Callithrix jacchus: one gene and its partners. The protein of the gene in region 1 binds, or shares a complex with, the protein of each later gene. Links are inferred from orthologs where the notes say so. Each region holds a gene or a part of one and is shown on either strand. Other genes may lie near its edges. The genes, in order: NDUFAF1, TMEM126B, ACAD9, ECSIT and TMEM186.

The links.
Region 2: NDUFAF1 (region 1) and TMEM126B share a complex: the UniProt entries of both Homo sapiens proteins name them as parts of the mitochondrial complex. The link is inferred for Callithrix jacchus from reciprocal best matches to the Homo sapiens genes NDUFAF1 and TMEM126B.
Region 3: NDUFAF1 (region 1) and ACAD9 share a complex: the UniProt entries of both Homo sapiens proteins name them as parts of the mitochondrial complex. The link is inferred for Callithrix jacchus from reciprocal best matches to the Homo sapiens genes NDUFAF1 and ACAD9.
Region 4: NDUFAF1 (region 1) and ECSIT share a complex: the UniProt entries of both Homo sapiens proteins name them as parts of the mitochondrial complex. The link is inferred for Callithrix jacchus from reciprocal best matches to the Homo sapiens genes NDUFAF1 and ECSIT.
Region 5: NDUFAF1 (region 1) and TMEM186 share a complex: the UniProt entries of both Homo sapiens proteins name them as parts of the mitochondrial complex. The link is inferred for Callithrix jacchus from reciprocal best matches to the Homo sapiens genes NDUFAF1 and TMEM186.

The regions. Positions count from the first base shown.
Region 1 is NC_133509.1:45,212,937-45,216,450, forward strand, and holds part of NDUFAF1 (complex I intermediate-associated protein 30, mitochondrial), read left to right. Parts: intron 1-1,529; coding exon 1,530-1,715; intron 1,716-3,514. UniProt on the Homo sapiens protein: As part of the MCIA complex, involved in the assembly of the mitochondrial complex I.
Region 2 is NC_133511.1:54,664,685-54,668,998, forward strand, and holds the start of TMEM126B (complex I assembly factor TMEM126B, mitochondrial), read right to left. Parts: upstream 2,805-4,314; 5' UTR 2,792-2,804; coding exon 2,714-2,791; exon of another isoform or gene 1-2,713. UniProt on the Homo sapiens protein: As part of the MCIA complex, involved in the assembly of the mitochondrial complex I. Participates in constructing the membrane arm of complex I.
Region 3 is NC_133516.1:73,261,003-73,264,516, forward strand, and holds part of ACAD9 (complex I assembly factor ACAD9, mitochondrial), read right to left. Parts: intron 2,869-3,514; coding exon 2,793-2,868; intron 1,451-2,792; coding exon 1,380-1,450; intron 1,129-1,379; coding exon 1,009-1,128; intron 1-1,008. UniProt on the Homo sapiens protein: As part of the MCIA complex, primarily participates in the assembly of the mitochondrial complex I and therefore plays a role in oxidative phosphorylation.
Region 4 is NC_133523.1:10,650,117-10,653,630, reverse strand, and holds part of ECSIT (evolutionarily conserved signaling intermediate in Toll pathway, mitochondrial), read left to right. Parts: intron 1-2,617; coding exon 2,618-3,035; intron 3,036-3,514.
Region 5 is NC_133513.1:11,045,557-11,049,623, forward strand, and holds the start of TMEM186 (transmembrane protein 186), read right to left. Parts: upstream 2,805-4,067; 5' UTR 2,780-2,804; coding exon 2,777-2,779; intron 1,748-2,776; coding exon 1,106-1,747; 3' UTR 1-1,105. Other genes in the region: PMM2 (phosphomannomutase 2), read left to right, coding at 3,044-3,109. UniProt on the Homo sapiens protein: As part of the MCIA complex, required for efficient assembly of the mitochondrial complex I.

The DNA of each region.
Region 1 (3,514 bases):
CAAGTGATTCTCCTGTCTCAGCCTCCCGAGTAGCTGGGATTACAGGTGCCCGCTACCATACCTGGCTAATTTTTGCAATTTTAGTAGAGACGGGGTTTCACCAAGTTGGCTAGGCTGGTCTCAAACTCCAGACCTCCTGACAGAGTCTTACTCTGTCACCCAGGCTGGATTGCGGTGGTGTGATCTTGGCTCATTGCAACCTCTACCTCCCGTGTTCAAGCAATTCTCCTGCCTCAGCCTCCAGAGAGGCTGGGAATATTGGCATGCACCACTATTCCTGACTAATTTTTGTATTTCTTGGTAGAGATGGGGTTTTACCATGTTGGCCAGGCTTGTCTTGAACTCCTGACCTCAGGTGATCTGCCTGCCTTGGCCTCTCGGAGTGCTGGGATTACAGGTGTCAGCCACTACACCCGGCCCAAATATTCATTTTGGAATAATGAAAATAGTAGATAACAGTTATTAAGTATATCCTGCTAGTCCTTGTGCTAAGCACTTTATATACGTTATTTATGTCTCACAACAATCTCCTGAGGTAAGATCATCCCGGTTTTATGGATGAGGAAACAGACTTGGAGAAATTTAGTAACTTGTCCAAAGTTAAATGGCTAATAAATATTACTTCATATCTAGACATTGGTATCCTTGACATCTGAGTAACCTTGAGATTGCTCTAACTGCTGTTGGAAATGAACACTACATTGCACTTTTGAACATAGAGGCAGTATAGATAGTTGTTAAGCACACAGATTTGGAGTTAAACAGCACTGAATATACCACTTAATAGCTGAACTATACCACTTATTAGCTCAGTTTCTTTCCTTTTTTTTTTTTGAGACGGAGTTTTGCTTTTGTTACCTAGGCTGGAGTGCAATGGCGCGATCTCGGCTCACCGCAACCTCCACCTCTTGGGTTCAGGCAATTCTCCTGCCTCAGCCTCCTGAGTAGCTGGGATTACAGGCATGTGCCACCATGCCCAGCTAATTTTTTATATTTTTAGTAGAGATGGGGTTTCACCTTGTTGACTAGGGTGGTCTCAATCTCTTAACCTCGTGATCCAACTGCCTCGACCTCCCAAAGTGCTGGGATTATAGGCTTGAGCCACCGTGCCCGGCCTTGGATACTGTTGTTAAATATCACTTTTAAAACTGAAGCTATATTCTTCATAATTTTCTGACTTATGGAAAGGCAGTTGTCATAAAATAGGCCACTCAGAAGCCACTGCTCCATAAAGACCTGATAGAGGAAATACATTTATTTCCATTCATTGAACACAGGTGAGTGCCTACCCGATGTAAAAACACTGTCCTGGGCCAGTCGTGTTTTGAACATTACCTTCGAAACATATAATCATGTCAGGATTTTGTTCTAAAATAATAATTGGCGGGTTTATCTGCCTCCTTATGGGACAGAAAGTCAAAAAAGAAAAATGGTTAGTGAATCCTGTTGATGATACTGATGTGGTGATGACTCACATTTTGGTAATAGTGGAGAATGAGGTACAATTAACTTTTCTTTCATTATCTTAGGGTGCTTTTGAAAGGAAGATGCCTTATGATTGGACCCAGTTTAATACTCTGTATCTCCGTGTACGTGGGGATGGTCGGCCTTGGATGGTGAATATCATGGAGGACACAGATTTCGTCCAGAGGAAGAATCAGCTGTATAGTTACTTCATGTTCACCCGAGGGGGTCCCTACTGGCAGGAGGTCAAGGTAACAGCATAAATCTTCATTGTTTATAAAAATGAGGTCTTGGCTGGGCGCGGTGCCTCACGCATGTATTCCCAGCACTTTGGGAGGCCAAGGCAGGCAGATTATAAAGTCAGGAGTTCAAGACCAGCCTGGCCAACATGGTAAAACCCCATCTCTACTAAAAGATACAAAAATTAGCCAGGTATGGAAGCACATACCTATAATCGCAGCTACTCTGTAGGCTGAGGCAGTAGAATCACTTGAACCTGGGAGGCAGAGGTTCCAGTGAGCTGAGATCACGCCATTGCACTCCAGCCTGGGTGACAGAGCAAGAAAGACTGTCTCAAAAAAAAAAAAAAAAAAGGCCGGACGCGGTGGCTCATGCCTGTAATCCCAACAACAGCATTTTGGGAAGCCGAAGCAGGCGGATCATGAGGTTAAGAGATCAAGACCATCCTGGACAACATGGTGAAACCCCGTCTCTACTAAAAATGCAAAATATTAGCTGGGCATGGTGATGCATGCCTGTAATCCTAGCTACTGGTGAGGCTGAGGCAGGAGAATCACTTGAACCTGGGAGGTGGAGTTTGCAGTGAGCTGAGATTGCGCCATTGCACTCCAGCCTGGCAACAGGGCGAGACTCTGTCTCAAAAAAAAGAAAAAGAAAAGAAAAGAAATGAGTTCTTGGCTGGGCATGGTGGCTCACACCTGTAATCCCAGCACTTTGGGAGGCAGAAGTGGGTGGATCACTTTAGGTCCAGAGTTTGAGACCAGCCTGACCAAGGTGATGAAACCCCATCTCTACTAAAAATGTAAAAATTAGCTGGGCATGGTGGCACACGCCTATAGTCCCAGCTACTCAGGAGGCTGAGGCGGGAGAATTTCTTTTTTTTTTTTTTTGAGACGGAGTTTCACTGTTGTTACCCAGACTGGAGTGCAATGGCACAATCTTGGCTCACCGCAACCTCCGCCTTCTGGGTTCAAGCAATTCTCCTGCCTCAGCCTCCCGAGTAGCTGGGATTACAGGCACACACCACCATGCCCAGCTAATTTTTGTATTTTTAGTAGAGACAGGGTTTCACCTTGTTGACCAGGATGGTCTCGATCTCTTGACCTTGTGATCCACCCACCTTGGCCCCCCAAAGTGCTGGGATTATAGGCGTGAGCCACCGCACCTGGCCGAGAATTTCTTGAACCCGGGAGGTGGAGGTTGCAGTGAGCTGAAGTCGTGCCATTGCACTCAAGCCTGGGCAACAGAGTGAGACTTTGTTCCCTGGCATCTGTAGAGTGCCAGACATCCTCACAGTTTTCAGTAGCATCACCTCCAGCTTATTCCTTAGACTTCTTTCCAACCAGGATGCTTTTCCAGAAATTTGGTCAAATTGTACACCGTGTGGTATAGGATCAGCCATGATTTCTTTCTGTGGTTGTGCATCTGAATCTCCTCCAGGGTGTAGTACTTCTTGTCCAACTGTTCAGCCATCTCCACATGGGGTGAGCCAGGCCTGGCTCACACAGCCACATGGGGTGGAGCAGAGCCTGTGACTCTGCTAGCTCTCCCTGGGACATTCCCCACTGCGAGCAGCATGCCAGGGGCCCATTTTTTATTTTGTTTTATATTATGTATTATGTGGATATTCCATAGTTGTTTAATGAGTCCTCTGTTGAAGGACACTTAAGTTGCCAATTGCTATTATTATGTTTCAGTGAAAAACCACGTGCAAGATCACTTTGTATTTATGCAGATGCATCTCTAGGCCAACTTCTGCAAGTAGGATTACTGGGTTAAAGAGTAAATGCTTTTGTAATTTTGATAAATA
Region 2 (4,314 bases), on another chromosome or scaffold:
AATTCCTTACAGAATTTATAGATTCAGATTTAAAAACATTTATAGTTTAGTAGTGTGCCAGGTACTATGTCAGCTGCTTTCACATACTTTATGTTAATAATTCAATCAATATTTAGTGAGTTCTTATTATCTGTTAGACACTGGCTTTTTGTTATATATATTTTTTCTTGCTAAACACCCTACAATGCACAGATACTGGCTTTCTGATTCACACACTAACCCAAGAAATTGGTAGTATGATGATTATCTCTATACAGATGAGAAAACTGAGGTTCTGAAAGGTTCGCTTGCCTTAAGATTTAGTGTAGAAGAATGACATACTGATACTGTTTCTGTTTTCCTTAGTTTTCTCCTCTCCTGATTCCAAGAAGGTAGTCAGGCCCTTTGTAGTTGTCCTAGTTCTTCAGGTGGGGAAGTGGAAACAGTGGCTGCTTATTGACATCTTTATCCCCAGTTTCTCATGAAAGACTGCGCTTATTTTGGAAATAGTGCTGTATTTCCTGGAGAGGTAGCAGAGAGCAGGGATTGCCTTGGAGAACAGCGAGAGAGAAAATCAGAAAGAGGGGCACTGCTCCAGAAAGGGAACAGGCAGTGGATGGTGGCTACTACTTTGGAGTACATAAATTATATATCCCGTTCCCTATTAGCATCTGTGGTGGAAGCAGAGCCTTTGTGAGAAATGGGCATGTGCCAGAGCAGAGGCCCATGGCACTGGGCTCCTCGGTTGTAAGGTTCTTGTGTCCTAAGTGTGATAAATAGACAGCTGCCAATGTCAAGGGACCATGAAGATTTGGCCAGTAGCATCTTAACAGAAACTAGAGAGGTTAAAAAACAAAACAACAAAAAAGCAAACCCTGCACTCTCAGACAGGATCCTTTCTGAAGTTTTGCTCTGGGCAAGACTCTACGGTCTCTGTGAAGTCTTAATAACATTTGTTAAATCCAAACATGTGGCTGCAAATGTTTACCTACTACAGCAGCAAGTGGAAGGTCTATTGATGCTAAGTTCACTGCTTCTTACTCTTTTTCATCTGGATTAGCCAAACAGCCTCTTCACAAATTTACACTAATCCCAATTTTAATGTTTATATTAAAGGCAAATACTAAATCTCAAATTTAAGGAGTCCTAGGCAAGAGAATTAGAGTGGATGAAGCATAATGAACACAGAAGATACTTAATAAATCAGTGGTTCTCAACCTTCAGCATGCACAAGAATCATGTGGCGTATTTATTTGAAATGCAGTCTCATGAACTCCCTCCTGAGATAACTGGATTCCGTAACAGTAGAATGAGGCCTAGACTCTCCATTTTAATAGCACCAAGGGTTTCTGATGCTGTAGTCAATGGACATACGTTGAATATCACTGTAATACTCATTTGCTGAATGAGCAGTATGTTCCAGTCCTAACTATAGAAGGGCCAGCTAATTATCCACAGCTCCTGCTCCTGGCATCAACATACAGAAGGTATGGGCTCCTTTGAACTTTCTCATGGTGTTACACAGGGAGTAATAATGGACCAGTTTCTTTCTCTGCATCATTGCACAACTGTACTCGATCTTTTTCTGTAACATTTCTGGAGAGGGCAGGGGGAAAAAAGGTAAAATATTTTACAGATTACAAATTTTCAGGGACTAGACTTAATCTTTTGCCTCTCCCTGACACCCAAATGTAAAGTATAAGAGATAGTAACATCTAAGGGAGGTTGTATACCTAACCCATCTATTGTACTAAAAGGGCAGATGCCAATAACATGAGTAACCATAAACCTTAGATAAATTTTTGTTTTGCTCTCATCCAATTCATTGAAGTCCCCCACCTCCCACCAAAAACGAAAAACAAAACAAACTTTCAGGCAACATCCTCTACTAATCTCCTACCTAGTCTACACCCTAAAATCTCTATAGGGAAAACACCCAGGATTATGATTACAGGACAGCAAATACTAAATGCTGAAAACAACACAGGAAATATTTATTAAGTGCTTAAGCTTTCCAAGGCACTGTCGAAGATCAACTGCTTTCATTACACCCCTCCCCTTTTAAGGCCACTCAACTAATCACCACATTTATACCAGTAAGACTGCATATATGTAGGTTTATAGTTTGCAAAGCATTTGACGGTTTTGTAGTGCTTTCAGGTTTATTATTTCACCTAAACTTTAGAATTTCATTGAATGTTCGCTCATCATTTAGGGAGTACCTGGTATATGCCAGGCCTCCCGGTAATCCCATCCTTGGGAATCCACAATGTAGTGAGGGTTTAGAACAATTTAAACGCAGAATGAGAGAGCGACATAAACAAAAAACCCAACAAACCAAGAAAAGGCAAACGATCTAGCCAGAGGAAGCATGGGAAGGCTTCCCCGAGGAAGTGGCATTTAAACCAATGCCCGAAAGAGAACAATTTGCCACAGGAGTTGGGATGGATAGAAGCAGGAAAATATTCCAAGTTGAAGAAAAGGCCTTTGCAAAGACCTGGAGACAAGAGAAAACAAACTGCAGATAATGAGGACTTGACTTTAGGTCTTCTACGTTCTCTCCGCCTCTTTCCACAGCAACTGGAGACTTAAATCGACTGCTCCTTGCATGGACTTGGGAGCTGTGTTCTTTAACGTTTCAAATCTCCTTTACATGTATCATCTTAGAAGAGTCTGCCAACACTTTGAAGCTGCAGAAATCACCCCCACTATACCACTTCGGGTTTCCGCCTACCTTGGGCGCTTCCTCAGCTCCCACCGGCTCCACACCTGAATCCAACTTAGCCCCAGCCTCATACCCGAGCGCCGCCATTTTGATGACTCACGTGACTTGCAAGGGGGCGGGGACCCAGAACGCCCTGGGAGGGAAGTGGTGCTGATTTACGGCTCACGCGTCTCGCTTGCAGCCCGGGCCGGCCCCCACTCAGTCAAAAGCCGCGCCCTCCATCCTGACTGTGATTGGGCGCGGAATCTGGAAATTACGGCCACTCATTTGCTTAGAAGAGGTCCAGATGCCTGCGGGCCCGCCCCGCTCGCCAGCCGAGTATTTCCTCCTCTTGCTATTTGTCAGTCTAGCTACCGCCTCTCCCCGCGTCCTGCGGGTAAGATGGGGCGGCCCGAATTTTGGAATGTTGCTGCGCTCCTGCCTCTCCTCAGGGCAGCTCTGTTAGCTGGGAACTAGCTGCCTGCCCCTTTCAGTCCTTGAGGGAACTCGCCCCTTTGACCTGGCCTGTGTGTTAAAGCTCTGCTTCTCGGGCACCTCCTCCTCAAAACCCCCAACCAGCAGCCGAATGCCGTCAAAGCAGCCCCGACTAGCCTCCTCCCCTCTCAGCCGTCTGACTCCTCTCCCCAGTCTGTAGTCCCCTCATTTCCATGCTTAAGCCCCGCTTGGAAAGAGACCGTAGAGAAATTTGCTCCCTACCCCCCGAGAAGACCCGTTTGTCAGCCGTGTCTTGGGGTAGGGGGCACTGCAAGGCCTGACGCTATTTTGTGCGCTTAAATGCCCAGCAGTATCTCCCAGACCGGCAACCCCCGACCCTCCAGTCTCCATATCTTAGAAAAGCCAAATTCGAGAGTTATATAATTTCTAGTGCTGCTGTTGCTCCTGCCTGAGGAAACACTTCATCGCGTGAAGGGTGCAGGACATTTCAGTGCTCTTCCCTAAAAGAACGGGGCTTGGGCAGGGGTGGCCAGCGGTGTCAGAGAAATGTCCTGTCTTTTCTGCAAAAGGAAGGTGGGTAGTTTGAAGAGAGATTGAGAGAAAAGGTGGATGTGAAAACCAAGCAGCTGCACTTTCTCATTTAGGAAATCGCGGACCGTTTGCATAGCTTATGCTTACATGTCTAATACTACTACGGCGTCTCTGAAAACACCTCTGGGAGAAGGTTTGGCTTCTCTTGAAGTTTCAGTGTTTTTCCTTGCCGGATAGGGAGCTGCTTGTATGCGAAGAGATGGCATAATGTGAATGACTCCAGTGTGAAGAAGTCTCCTTCGCCAACTCATCCTGCATCAAGTGCCCATTGAGTAGCACTGTCACTTTAATGTCTCCATGCCAAGGGATTGCTTTCCTTTTTTTCAATCCTCTTGGTTAATACATGGGAGGATCAGAATCAGAGGGGCATTAAAGGATCAAGCCTGGGGGCTTGGAGAGCACAGAAGAAAAAAATGAAAGTGACAGCAGGCTGGATCCTGAGTTACTGAGAGGGTGAGATCTGAAACTTCTGATCAGTAAATAGAAGGGGGCCTTTCAGTGTGTGTTCTGCCCCAGAAAGCTGTTCAAACTCACCTACCTTTTTAGAGACTGGAGTCAAAGAGGTTTTTAAAAGTATTTTTTGG
Region 3 (3,514 bases), on another chromosome or scaffold:
ACCTCTCACCATTTCTCTCAGGAGCTCAATTCCAGCTTAAAAACAATTGTTGGGGGCACCAAAGTAGGGTCCCCCAAAGGGTAGCCATCTTTTTTACACAGCGAAAAATGATACCCTCCACCGTGAACAAAACAAAAGCAACAGAAAACTCTAGTATCTACCTCAACCAAATAAGATAATCTTCCCACCTCAGCCTCCCAAGTACAGGTGTGTACCACCACGACAGCTGATTTTTGTATTTTTTTGTAGAGATGGAGTTTTGCCATGTTGCCCAGGCTCGTATACTTAGTTGTTTTTTTTTTTTTTTTTGAGATGGAGTTCACTCTTGTTGCCCAGGCTGGAGTGCAGTGGCACGACCTCGGCTCACTGCAACCTCTGCTCCCTGGGTTCAAGCGATTCTCCTGCCTCAGCCTTCCAAGTGGCTGGGACTACAGGTGCCCGCCACCTTGCCCGGCTATTTTTTTCTATTTTTAGTAGAGATGGGGTTTCATCATGTTGGCCAGGCTGGTCTCGAACTCTAGACCTCTGTGATCCACCCACTTCAGCCTCCAAAAGTGCTGGGATTATAGGCGTGAGCCACCATGCCTTGCCATATATTTAGTTTTTAAGAGGACGTTTTGAAACCAAAAAGTAGGAAGGCCATAAATTAAGGAAAAAAGTTCTTCTCACAAAAGCCAGCTGCAATGTTATTATTCTAAAAGGACGTTAACAGAATGGTCTCCTTCTGCTATAAACTGCTGATCCACTGGCAAAAGCTTGGTAGAAACTGCACTGTGGGAGCATGGAGCCTTCCTACAAACTGCTGCTCACCAGTCACTTCCCTGCTGCTGCAGCTCCCCGCCCACTGCCTGTCTATCCCTGGAGTGCTGCACAGGGCTAGTGCATCATAAATACTGGATCAATGACAGGAGGAAGATGATAGGCAACAGCATAGGCTTGAAAGGTCACAGTGAGGGAGCTTTCCCAAGCCTCCCTCCAGCGCCAGCTCTCTGGCTATGCCACTGTTACCTTCACCATGGCCGCCTCAATGGAGCAGTCGGGAAAGCCCGGTTGGTCTAGCATCCCTGCTGTGAGGTAGGTCATACTCTCCATGGCATAAGCCTTCTGAGCCATCAGTGCAAACTTCTCCTGGAGTATTCAGAAAAAAACACAAGAAGCAATTTGCATGTGCTGAGAGCCAAATCTTCAGAACAGGAGAGAAGGTAATTAAGTCAGAATCCTGAATGCCCAAGAAAAGCAAGCCCAGCGACCCTTGTTAAATAAAGCCTTAACTAGTCTTCTTCCCAAATCACCACAGAAGAGTCACCAGTACAGACATCAAAAGAACACAGTCATGTCACACAGTGAAATCCACAAAGACAGCACTCAACTGTCTATACCTGAATCAATCCAAATTCGCTGAGTCTCTTGTTAAACTGTTTCCTTGTGCAGGCATACTCAGCAGTCATTTCTGAGGAAGAGCAGAGTCATTAGAAAGAACTGGAACTTTTGTTATTGAAACATAATTTCCTATGGCCATCATCCTTACCCTTCCCACAGGCAGGCACTATGAGAAGCATGTCTGCTGAGATCAAATGCCCCAGAAGCTAGTAACTCCACTTGTCAGCACCCATGGGTCAGAGGAGAACCACCCCTCCTAATGGAATCTACAGTTTAGCATCAGATACAGACTTGAATCCTGGCAATGGTTCTTACAGCCAGTGGCCTGGGCCAAGCATGTCACCTCCCTGAAGATGCAACCAGGTGGAAGGCAGAAGGCTCCTCACACAAAGCCAGGCACAGAAGCCCCAGAGAGAGGCGGTGCAGGCCCAAACCCAGCGCACAGTGCTCCTGACCAAAGCAGGTGGGGCTGCCCGGCTTGAATACTCAGGCTGGGACTTCCAGGCATGTGGTTGTGACCAAGTGCTGAGCTCTGAGGGCCCATGAATTAGATGGCGCCTCTCCCAGGCAGAAGCACCTCACCACCACCACCTGCCGCCCGTAGCTATGTTCTCCACAGGCTCTCCCAGGTGTGGCGCACTCAGGAGGTGAACAGGGCTGAGTTCCCCAGAGGACTTGCAAGTGAGAAAAGCCCTGAGCCTGGAGCCTGAGAGCTTTAGTTTTGGGTCCAGTTGCCCTCTCTGAGCCTCTGTCTTCTCATCTCTAAAATGGAGGTAAACCAAAACAAGTATGCCCATCTTGGCCCAAAAGAGGCCGGCCCAGAGCCTGGCATCCAAAGAGGAGCTTCATAAAGCACTTAGGGATGTGCCATCCCAGGCATTCCCATTTCCTCACAGATGCTTCCACAACAGACAGGATGGTTACAGGGTTGTTCTAAGCTCACTGGCAAAGGAAAATGGAGGTTTCAGGTATCCTGACAGAACAGAACAAAAAAAGATCCAGAGGCCCAGGGACCTGGGTTCCAAACCACTCCCCACACACCATGCAGTCACTGAGGCAGCGTGAACCTTGGGCACCAGAGGCCATGTGTCCTGGGAGCCTGGCTCATGGTACGTGCTTACCAAGCAGCTCTGCCCCTATTCCTCTCGCGCCAGACAGAAAGCCCCTTCCCCCATCCCCATCCCGTGTGGAAGTGAAACAGAGGAATTCGAAGATAACCAATTCAGGGGCAGGCTGAGGAGACCCTCTGGTCTCCACAAAAGCCCATGGACGGAGCTCAGGCTAGACCCTCAGTGGAGGTGGCCTAGTTCAGCACCAGCCTGGAAGTGGCCGGGGGAATGGCAGAGCCTCCAGGGATGGAGCCGGGGCAGCAGGAAGTGGAACACAAAGGGTCTTGTCCCTGACTTACCTACCAATCAATCTCTTGAGCATCCCAGCCACAGCGCTGCCCATACTGAACCGGCCACTGTTGAGGATGTCCATGGCCACCTGCAGGGAGAAAGGGAGAGCCCAGGGGCCCTGAAGGAGGCAGGGGGAGGAGGCCATAACCACACGTCTACCTTTACCAGACCAGGCAAACGGATCAGCTTGCCTTCCCTCGGGCTGGGAGAAAGCACTGTCCTAACATCTCGGAACTAAGTAGTTCACTCACAGTTGCAGCTCTACCAATGTCCCCGCACACAAGAAAGACCACTGAACGTTATTCCAAAGGAACATGCCAGAGCTGGGCATGGTGGCTCCCACCTGTAGTACCAGCATTTTGGGAGGCCAAGGCAGGAGGATCACTTGAACCCAGGAGTTCCAGACTAACTTGGGCCCACTAGAAATTCTACATTTAGGTATAAAGCAAAATAACTGAAAACATATTTCCACACAAAAACTTGACATGAATGTTCATTATTGATAGCAGCCAAAAGTGCTAACAACCCAATGCCCATCAGCTGGTGAATGGATGAACAAAATGTGCTATCTCCACTCAACAAAAGATAATTTAGCCATAAAAGGAATGAATTACTTATTCATGCTACAAGAGAGATGAACCTTGAAAACATCACACTATGTGAGAGAAGCCTGTCACCAAAGACTGGATCTTGCATATGACTGTATTTCTATGAAATGTTCCGAACATGCAAAT
Region 4 (3,514 bases), on another chromosome or scaffold:
TACACACACACACACACACACACACACACACACATTTATTTTTTAGAGACAAGGTTTCACTCTGTCGTTTAGGCTGGAGTACAGCAACACAATCATAGTTCACTGCAGCCTGGAAATCCTGGGCTCAAGCAATCCTCTGGCTTCAGCCTCCTGAGTAGCTGGGACTACAGGCATACGTCACCACGCTCAGCTTATTTTTTAATTTTTTCATAGAGAAATGGAGTCTCAGCCGGGCTCAGTGGCTCACACCTGTAATCCCAGCATTTTGGGAGGCTGAGGCGGGCAGATCACGAGGTCAGGAGTTTGAGGCCAGCCTGGCCAATATGGTGAAATCTTGTCTCTACCAAAAATAGAAAACTTAGCTGGGCATGGTGGTGCACAGCCAGCTACTTGGAGGCTGAGGCAGGAGAATCACTTGAACCCCAGGAGATGGAGGTTGCAATGAGCCAAGATCGTGCCACTGCACTCCAGCCTGGCAACAGAGTGAGGGTCCGTCTCATAAATAAATAGAGAGAGAGAGAGAGAGAGAGAGAGAGAGAGAGAGAGAGAGAGTCCCACTATGTTACCCAGACTGCAGTGCAGTGGTGCAATCAAAGCACACTACAGCCTTGAACTCCTGGCTTCAGGCAGTCCAACCACCTCTGCCTCCAAAGTAGCTGGGACTATCAGGCACTCACCACCTTGCCTGGATAATTAGCTATATATTTTTAAAGATGCCTTATATGTAACCCTTCTAATTTAAACATTCAATTTTAATTAAAATAAGAAATTCGTTACTGTATCATCTAGAACCAGGATTTGGCAAACTTTTTCATAAAGGGTCACATAGTAAATATTTTCAACTTTGCAGGCCACATGGGCTCCCTCACAACTATTCAATTACTTTGAGCTACACTGTAACATAAAAGTAGCCCCAGGTAGCCTCAGTGGCTCAAGCCTATAACCCCAACACTGGGAGGCTGAGGCAGAAGGATCTCTTGAGCCCAGAAGTTTGAGACCAGCCTGGGCAACATAGTGTAACCCCGTCTCTACAAAAAGATACAAAAATTAGCCTGGCTTTTAGTGATGCATGCCTGTAGTCCCAGCTACCCTGGACGCTGAGGTGGGAGAATCACTGGAGCCCAGGAGTTCTGGGCTGTTGTGCACTGTGCTGATGGAGCATCCTGCACTACGTTTTGTGTGAATATTGTGACCTCCTGGGACTTGGGGGACCACCAGGTTGCCTAAGGAAGGGTGTACTGACCCAGGTTGGAAACAGAGCAGGTCAAAACTCCTGTGCTGATCAGTTGGCTCATGCCTGTGATTAACCACTACACTTTAGCCTGGGCAACACAGCTAGACTTCATCTCTTAAAGAAAAAAGGGTGTCCTAGCACTTTGGGAGGCTGCAGTGAGTGGATCACCTGAGGTCAGGAATTTGAGACCATCCTGGCCAACTTGGTGAAACCCCATCCCTACTAAAAATACAAAAATAGGCTGGGTACGGTGGCTTATATCTGTAATCCCAGCACTTTGGCAGGTTGAGGTGGGTGGATCATGAGATCAGGAGTTTGAGACCAGCCTAGCCAAGATGGTGAAATCCCATCTTTACTAAAATATAAAAATTAGTGGGGCATGGCGGAGCACATCTGTAGTCCCTGTTTGGGAGGCTGAGGCATGAGAATCGCTTGAACATAGGAGGCAGAGGTTGCATTGAGCTGAGGTCATGGCACTGCACTCTAGCATGAGTGACAAAGTGAGACTCTGCCTCAAAAAAAGAAAAAAAGAAATCCCAACACTTTGGGAGGTGGAGACAAGATGATCACTTAAAGCCAGGTGTTTAAGACCAGCCTGGGCAAAATAGTACAACTCCACCTCTGCTGAAAATTTAAAAATTAGCCAGGTGCCATGATGTACACCTGTAATGCCAGCTACTGGACAGGCTGACAGGGAGAATTCTTAAGCCCAGGACTTCAAAGCTGCAGTAAGCCAGAGTAGCACCCTACACTCCAGCCTAGGCCACAGAGCCAGCCCTGTCTGAAAAAAAAAAAAAAAAAAAAGGCTGGGCACAGTGGCTCACTCCTGTAATCCTAGCACTTTGGGAGGTGAAGGCAGGCGGATCACCTGAGGTCAGGAGTTCCAGACCAACCTAGCCAACATGGTGAAACCCCATCGCTACTAAAAATATAAAAATTAGTTGGGCGCAGTGACGGGAGCCCGTAATCCCAGCTACTCTGGAGGCCAAGGCAGGACAATTGCATGAACCCAGGAAAAGGAGGTTGTAGTGAGCCGAGATTGCCCCATTGCACTCCAGCCTGGAGGACAGCAACGCTTTGTCTCAAAAAAAAAAAAAAAGGGCATGTGTGTGTCATCACTATGAATATTACCAAGTTGCCTCCATGGCAGTTTTTAGCAGCTGCCCCATGGCTGACAGCGCCTGTTTTCTCCCTGCCATGCCAGCACTGTGTTTTATTGCACTTTGTAGTGGCCTCGAATCTTGGGTTTGTAACCACAGTTTCCTACCTCCAAGGTCCTCAGGGAGGCCACTGGCACCTCTCCAAGGAAAAAGCCAGCCTGGCAGCCCCCCTACCCCAGACACTGGGAGGTGTCAGATTCCAGCAGTTCTCCTCCCTCCCCAGGTCGCCCGCCAGCTCCCTCGGGGCCTCCACTGCAGCGCAGCCACCCACAGCTCTGAAACGGCGCTGGTTCCCACCCCAACGGAACCCCAGCAGAGACGCACCAAGGCCGTGGTGCCCTATGAAAACATGTTTGGGCAGGCGCCCAATGGGAAACGGGACAAGGCGAGCTTCCTGCAGGCGGTGCAGAAGTTTGGGGAGCACAGCGTGCGTAAGCGGGGCCACGTTGACTTTATCTACCTGGCCCTGCGCAAGATGCGTGAGTATGGCGTTGAGCGGGACCTGGCCGTGTACAACCAGCTGCTCGACATCTTCCCCAAGGAGGTCTTCCGGCCTCGCAACTTCATCCAGCACATCTTCATCCACTATCCTCGGCAGCAGCAGTGTGGGGTGGCCGTCCTGGAGCAGATGGAGAACCACGGTGAGGACAGGAGGCCCTTGTGGGGTGGGGAGTGGGCTGCCCTGAGAGCTGGCAGCACCTCTCCTGGGTCTCAGCCCCTCCTTCCTCCACAGCTCCCGTCCCCCTCCCAGTCTCTCTTTCCCTTCCCCTTTCCTTTCTCTTCTCTTTCTCTTGCCCCTTTCCCTTCCCCTCCCCTTCCCTTCCTCTCTTTCTCTTTTTCTTTTCTTTCTTCCTTTTTTTTTTTGAGATGGAGTCTCCCTCTGTCACCAGGCTGGAGTGCAGTGGTGCATTCTTGGCTCACTGCAAACTCCGACTCCCTGGTTCAAGTAATTCTCCTGTCAGCCTCCAGAGTAGCTGGGACTACAGGCACACGCCACCACACCTACCTAATTTTTTTGTATTTTTAGTGGAGATGGCGTTTCACCATGTTGGCTGGGATGGTCTCCATCTCCTGACCTCGTGATCCGCCCGCCTCGGCCACCTAAAGTGCTGGGATTACA
Region 5 (4,067 bases), on another chromosome or scaffold:
AGTGTATATAACTGGCTTTAGTTTATAAAACAGTGTACCAGCATACGTCCATCTGGCTTTATTACACTGCAGGGCCATCCAAAGCAAGAGTCTCTAGACCTCTGGGTGGGGTTTTGTGCTCACCTGGATGACATCTCTGCTCATTGATGTGTAGTTAACAGTCCCTTCTGGTAGTCCCTTCTGCCGCTGGACATGTGAGGGGGCACAGCACAGAGTTCTGGATGTCGCTAGTGACTGCTCAAAGTCTTTCTCCATGCTGAAACCTCTATACAAATGCTTAATATCTGCTCTGGGCTGTTGAGTCCGCAAAAATTTTGACATTTATTGTTTATTCCCACACCCATCCCATGCAACAAGAAGACTTTCCATTTTATAGATGGAGGTTCAAAGAGGCTCAATAACCTCTTTGCCAGGACAAGTAACAGAACTGAGACTTCTGGCTCCAAATTCTACACTCCCCTGCCACACCTCTTTGCCTTCCCATTTCACAGCAATGGACTGTCTGGGTGACCTTGGCATAGGTTCCTTTAATAACTGGCTCCTAACAGAAACCTCCAGCCATTATCTGACTGAATGTCACACACAAGTGCTATCAGAACTTGCACTTAGCCGGGTGCGGTGGCTTACACCTGTAATCCCTGCACTTTGGGAGGCCGAGGCAGATGGATCAAGAGGTCAGGAATTTGAGACCAGCCTGGCCAACATAATGAAACCCCGTCTCTACTAAAAATACCAAAAAAGTTAGCCAGGTGTGGTGGCGAGCACCTGTAGTCCCAGCTACTCGGGAGGCTGAGGTGGGAGAAGCGCTTGAACCTGGAAGGCGGAGACTGAATAAGCTGAGTTCACACCACTCCAGCTTGGGGAAAAGAACGAACTCCATCTCAAAAAATGAAAAGAAAAAAAAAGAACTTGCATTTAGAGCCTTTTTCCTAAACCTGGACACCAAATCTCACCTTGTAAATTTCTACATCACAAAACACATGTTCCCAGGGGCCCAGGAAAGTCTCCAAGTACTCAATCCCCTTTCTTCAATCTTGCGCACACCCTCGGCCTTCCTGTCAATCCAGGCAACCCAGAATTACCCAGAGGTCCAGCTCCCAGTTGTTTACTTGAATATCTGCAGCGCCCCAAACACCTGTGTGAAACACTCTTTGTCCAGGATGCGTCCGTGGCGTAGGGTAAGGTAGAAGGTCTGTTTCCCACTGTACTGCTGGATACGCATGAACAGCTCCTCAGGGCAGTCCTTGGTTTCTGTCAGGGGTATCACATCTTCCACGGGACAGTATGTGTCCTGCCGCCAGCCCCAGAAGTTCAGGTGGGCCACCCGCAGTATGGTGCCAGACTCGTTCAGATACAGGATGCCAACCAGTCTCCGAAGGAAATAGCTCATCCAGCAGAGCATGGCCAGAGCAAAGCATGACACCCCATTCATGATGCAAAGGGACTTGAGAGTCAGGAGGCCCTGGGAGTACCAGTAATAGCCTGGTGGCAAAGCTATCACTGTCAGGGCAGTCTGTGCCAACTTCAGTCGAGACAGGTACCCGAAGGATCTGATGGCATCAAAACGGTAAAACATCCGGAATTTCTCAGTCTCTGTGTCTGGTGGTTTCTCCTTTGAGGTGGGTGACGTGCTCCCCAGCCACCTCTTAGGATCCTCCTGCCCACTGCAGCACCACCACAGCCCATGGAGAGGCCGTCCCCATGCAGTTTTTCCTGGAAACCTAGGCACAGCTCGGAGAAGGGCAGCCTGAAAGGGAGATAGTAGACCATTTCTCTTATGGAACTCAACCACATTAATCACACGGTAAACATCTGCAAAGCATCTCACTCCAAGGCTTTTGCCAATCCTGCAAGGTCACCATTATTGCCAGAGAAGGAAAGGGTAAAGCCAGATGCTACCTCATGTGAGCAACACAACAGCTACCTAAGATAGGTATCCCTATTTCCACTTTACCACTAGGGAAACTAAGCCCAGAGAGGGTAAGATGTTTACCCAAACATAGTCAGTGAGTGCAGCAGAGTCCGACTCTCAAACCGGGCCTCTTTTCACCAGGCAATTCCAAATAAATATAGGAAAAGAGGTACAGCCTTCATTAACTCACAACCTATCTAGGCAGGACCAACTCTGGGCTGGACAATGGATCCAAAAGGGGTTGTGAACATTTCCCCAAGCAGGATACTAAATAATCAGTGTCTTAGTGGGGAACTTGAGCAACAAATCTGTGAAATATTTATCCCAATAACTTTCCAATTCTGTTTGATTTATATGTCATCTTGGGTGCTAGAGGAAACTGCTGCTTTCTTAGCCTAGTCTGGGGAAGCAGAAATAGCAGAGGAGGAGGAGAGAAGCAGGAAGGCCCCAACACATAGCACAAGGATATTATTAGGTGAGTAACGAGGCAGTAAAAGTTCTGGTTCCGGTTCTGGCTCCAACAGTCACTGCCTGTGGATTCTTGAGCAAATTACTTCCTTCACACCCCTGAGCTTCCGTTTCTTCACCTTTCAAAATGGGGACTCAGAACACAGTGAACCAGAAGATGGTTTAGAGCCCTCAACTTAGTACCTGATGCACTGTGAGAGCCTGGCCAGTTTTAGCGAGTACTACTGCTGCGCACGTGACCCAAGGAGGTCAGAGAAAGCCGGGGGAATGGCGAACTGTAACCCACGCTGAAGCCTCCTACTAGGGATTCTCCGAGTCCGACAGTAGGGCGTCTTGTCTGCCTGCCCCAGCTCTGACCCCGATCCCCAAAACAAGGCTCGTCACCCGCCTCCTTACCATTGTCCCACCGCCTGCTGCCGGAAGTAAATGCCACCGGTCCCCGGAACCTCTAAGAGGGCATGCTCGAACGTACAAGGCGGGCGTGACCGCGTTGCACTCTGGGAGTTGCGGTCCAGGAATCGTGGCTGGCGCTAGTCCCAGGCATTGTGGGAACAGAGTCTCCTCTTCCCGACGTGCCCTGCAGCTCGGGGGCCGAACCCGGAAGTTCCGGGCTGAGCTCCTGGTGCCAACGAGTCTCGTCAGGAGCAGCTAGAAACTGGGGATATGGCAGGTCCCGGCCCAGCGCTCTGCCTCTTCGACGTGGATGGGACCCTCACCGCTCCGCGGCAGGTAAGTGGCGGTAGCAGCCGAGACGGAGCCCGTGCTGTTCCCAGTTGAAGTTATCGACCACCCAGGGTGGGCGCCAAGGGGTAGCTGAGGACCGCAGAAGTGTTCATGGGGGCTGAACCCTACTCGGGGTGTCCTGGAGGAATGAGAGTGAAGCTCTGACCAGCTCTTCAAGAGCTCTTGGTGCTTGGAGAGATGAGACGGGGCTGAAGAACTCCTAAGAGCAAGAAACTTGTGCTGGGTCGGAAAATGCAATCTGGATTCACGGCTGGTCCTCGGGACTGTTGGACCAGGATTTGTACCCGAGATCAAGCCCCCTTTTCAGCTATGTTACAGACATTCTCAGTCCTGTAACCAATGAGCTGTGCCGTGAATAATATTTTTAAAAGGTTTCCAGGTCAAACCGACCTAGTGGAGTCTCGTCTTCACCTCTTGACAGCTGTGTGACCTTGAGCAAGTCATTAATGTCTCTGAGCTTCAGCATCTACAGCTTTTTTTTTTTTTTTTATAGGAGTTTTCGCTTTTGTCTCCCAGGCTAGAGTGCAATGGGGCGACCTCGGCTCACTGCTGTAACCTCCGCCTCACAGGTTCAAGCAATTCTCCTGCCTCAGCCTCCGAAGTAGCTGGAATTACACGCACCTACCGCCACGCCCGGGTCCTACCTCAGCCTCCCAAGTAGCTGGGATTACAGGCACCTGCCGCCACGCCCGGGTCCTGCCTCAGCTTCCCAAGTAGCTGGGATTACAGGCACCTGCCACCACGCCATGCTAATTTTTATATTTTTAGTAGAGACAGGGTTTCACCATGTGGACCAGACTGGTCTCAAATTCCTGACCTCAGGTGATCACTCGCGTCAGCCTCCCAAAGTGCTGGGATTACAGGCATGAGCCACCACGCCTGACCTCATCTTCAGCTTTAAATGGGGATATTACCCCCTGTGCCATATGGTGTCTGTGAGGTT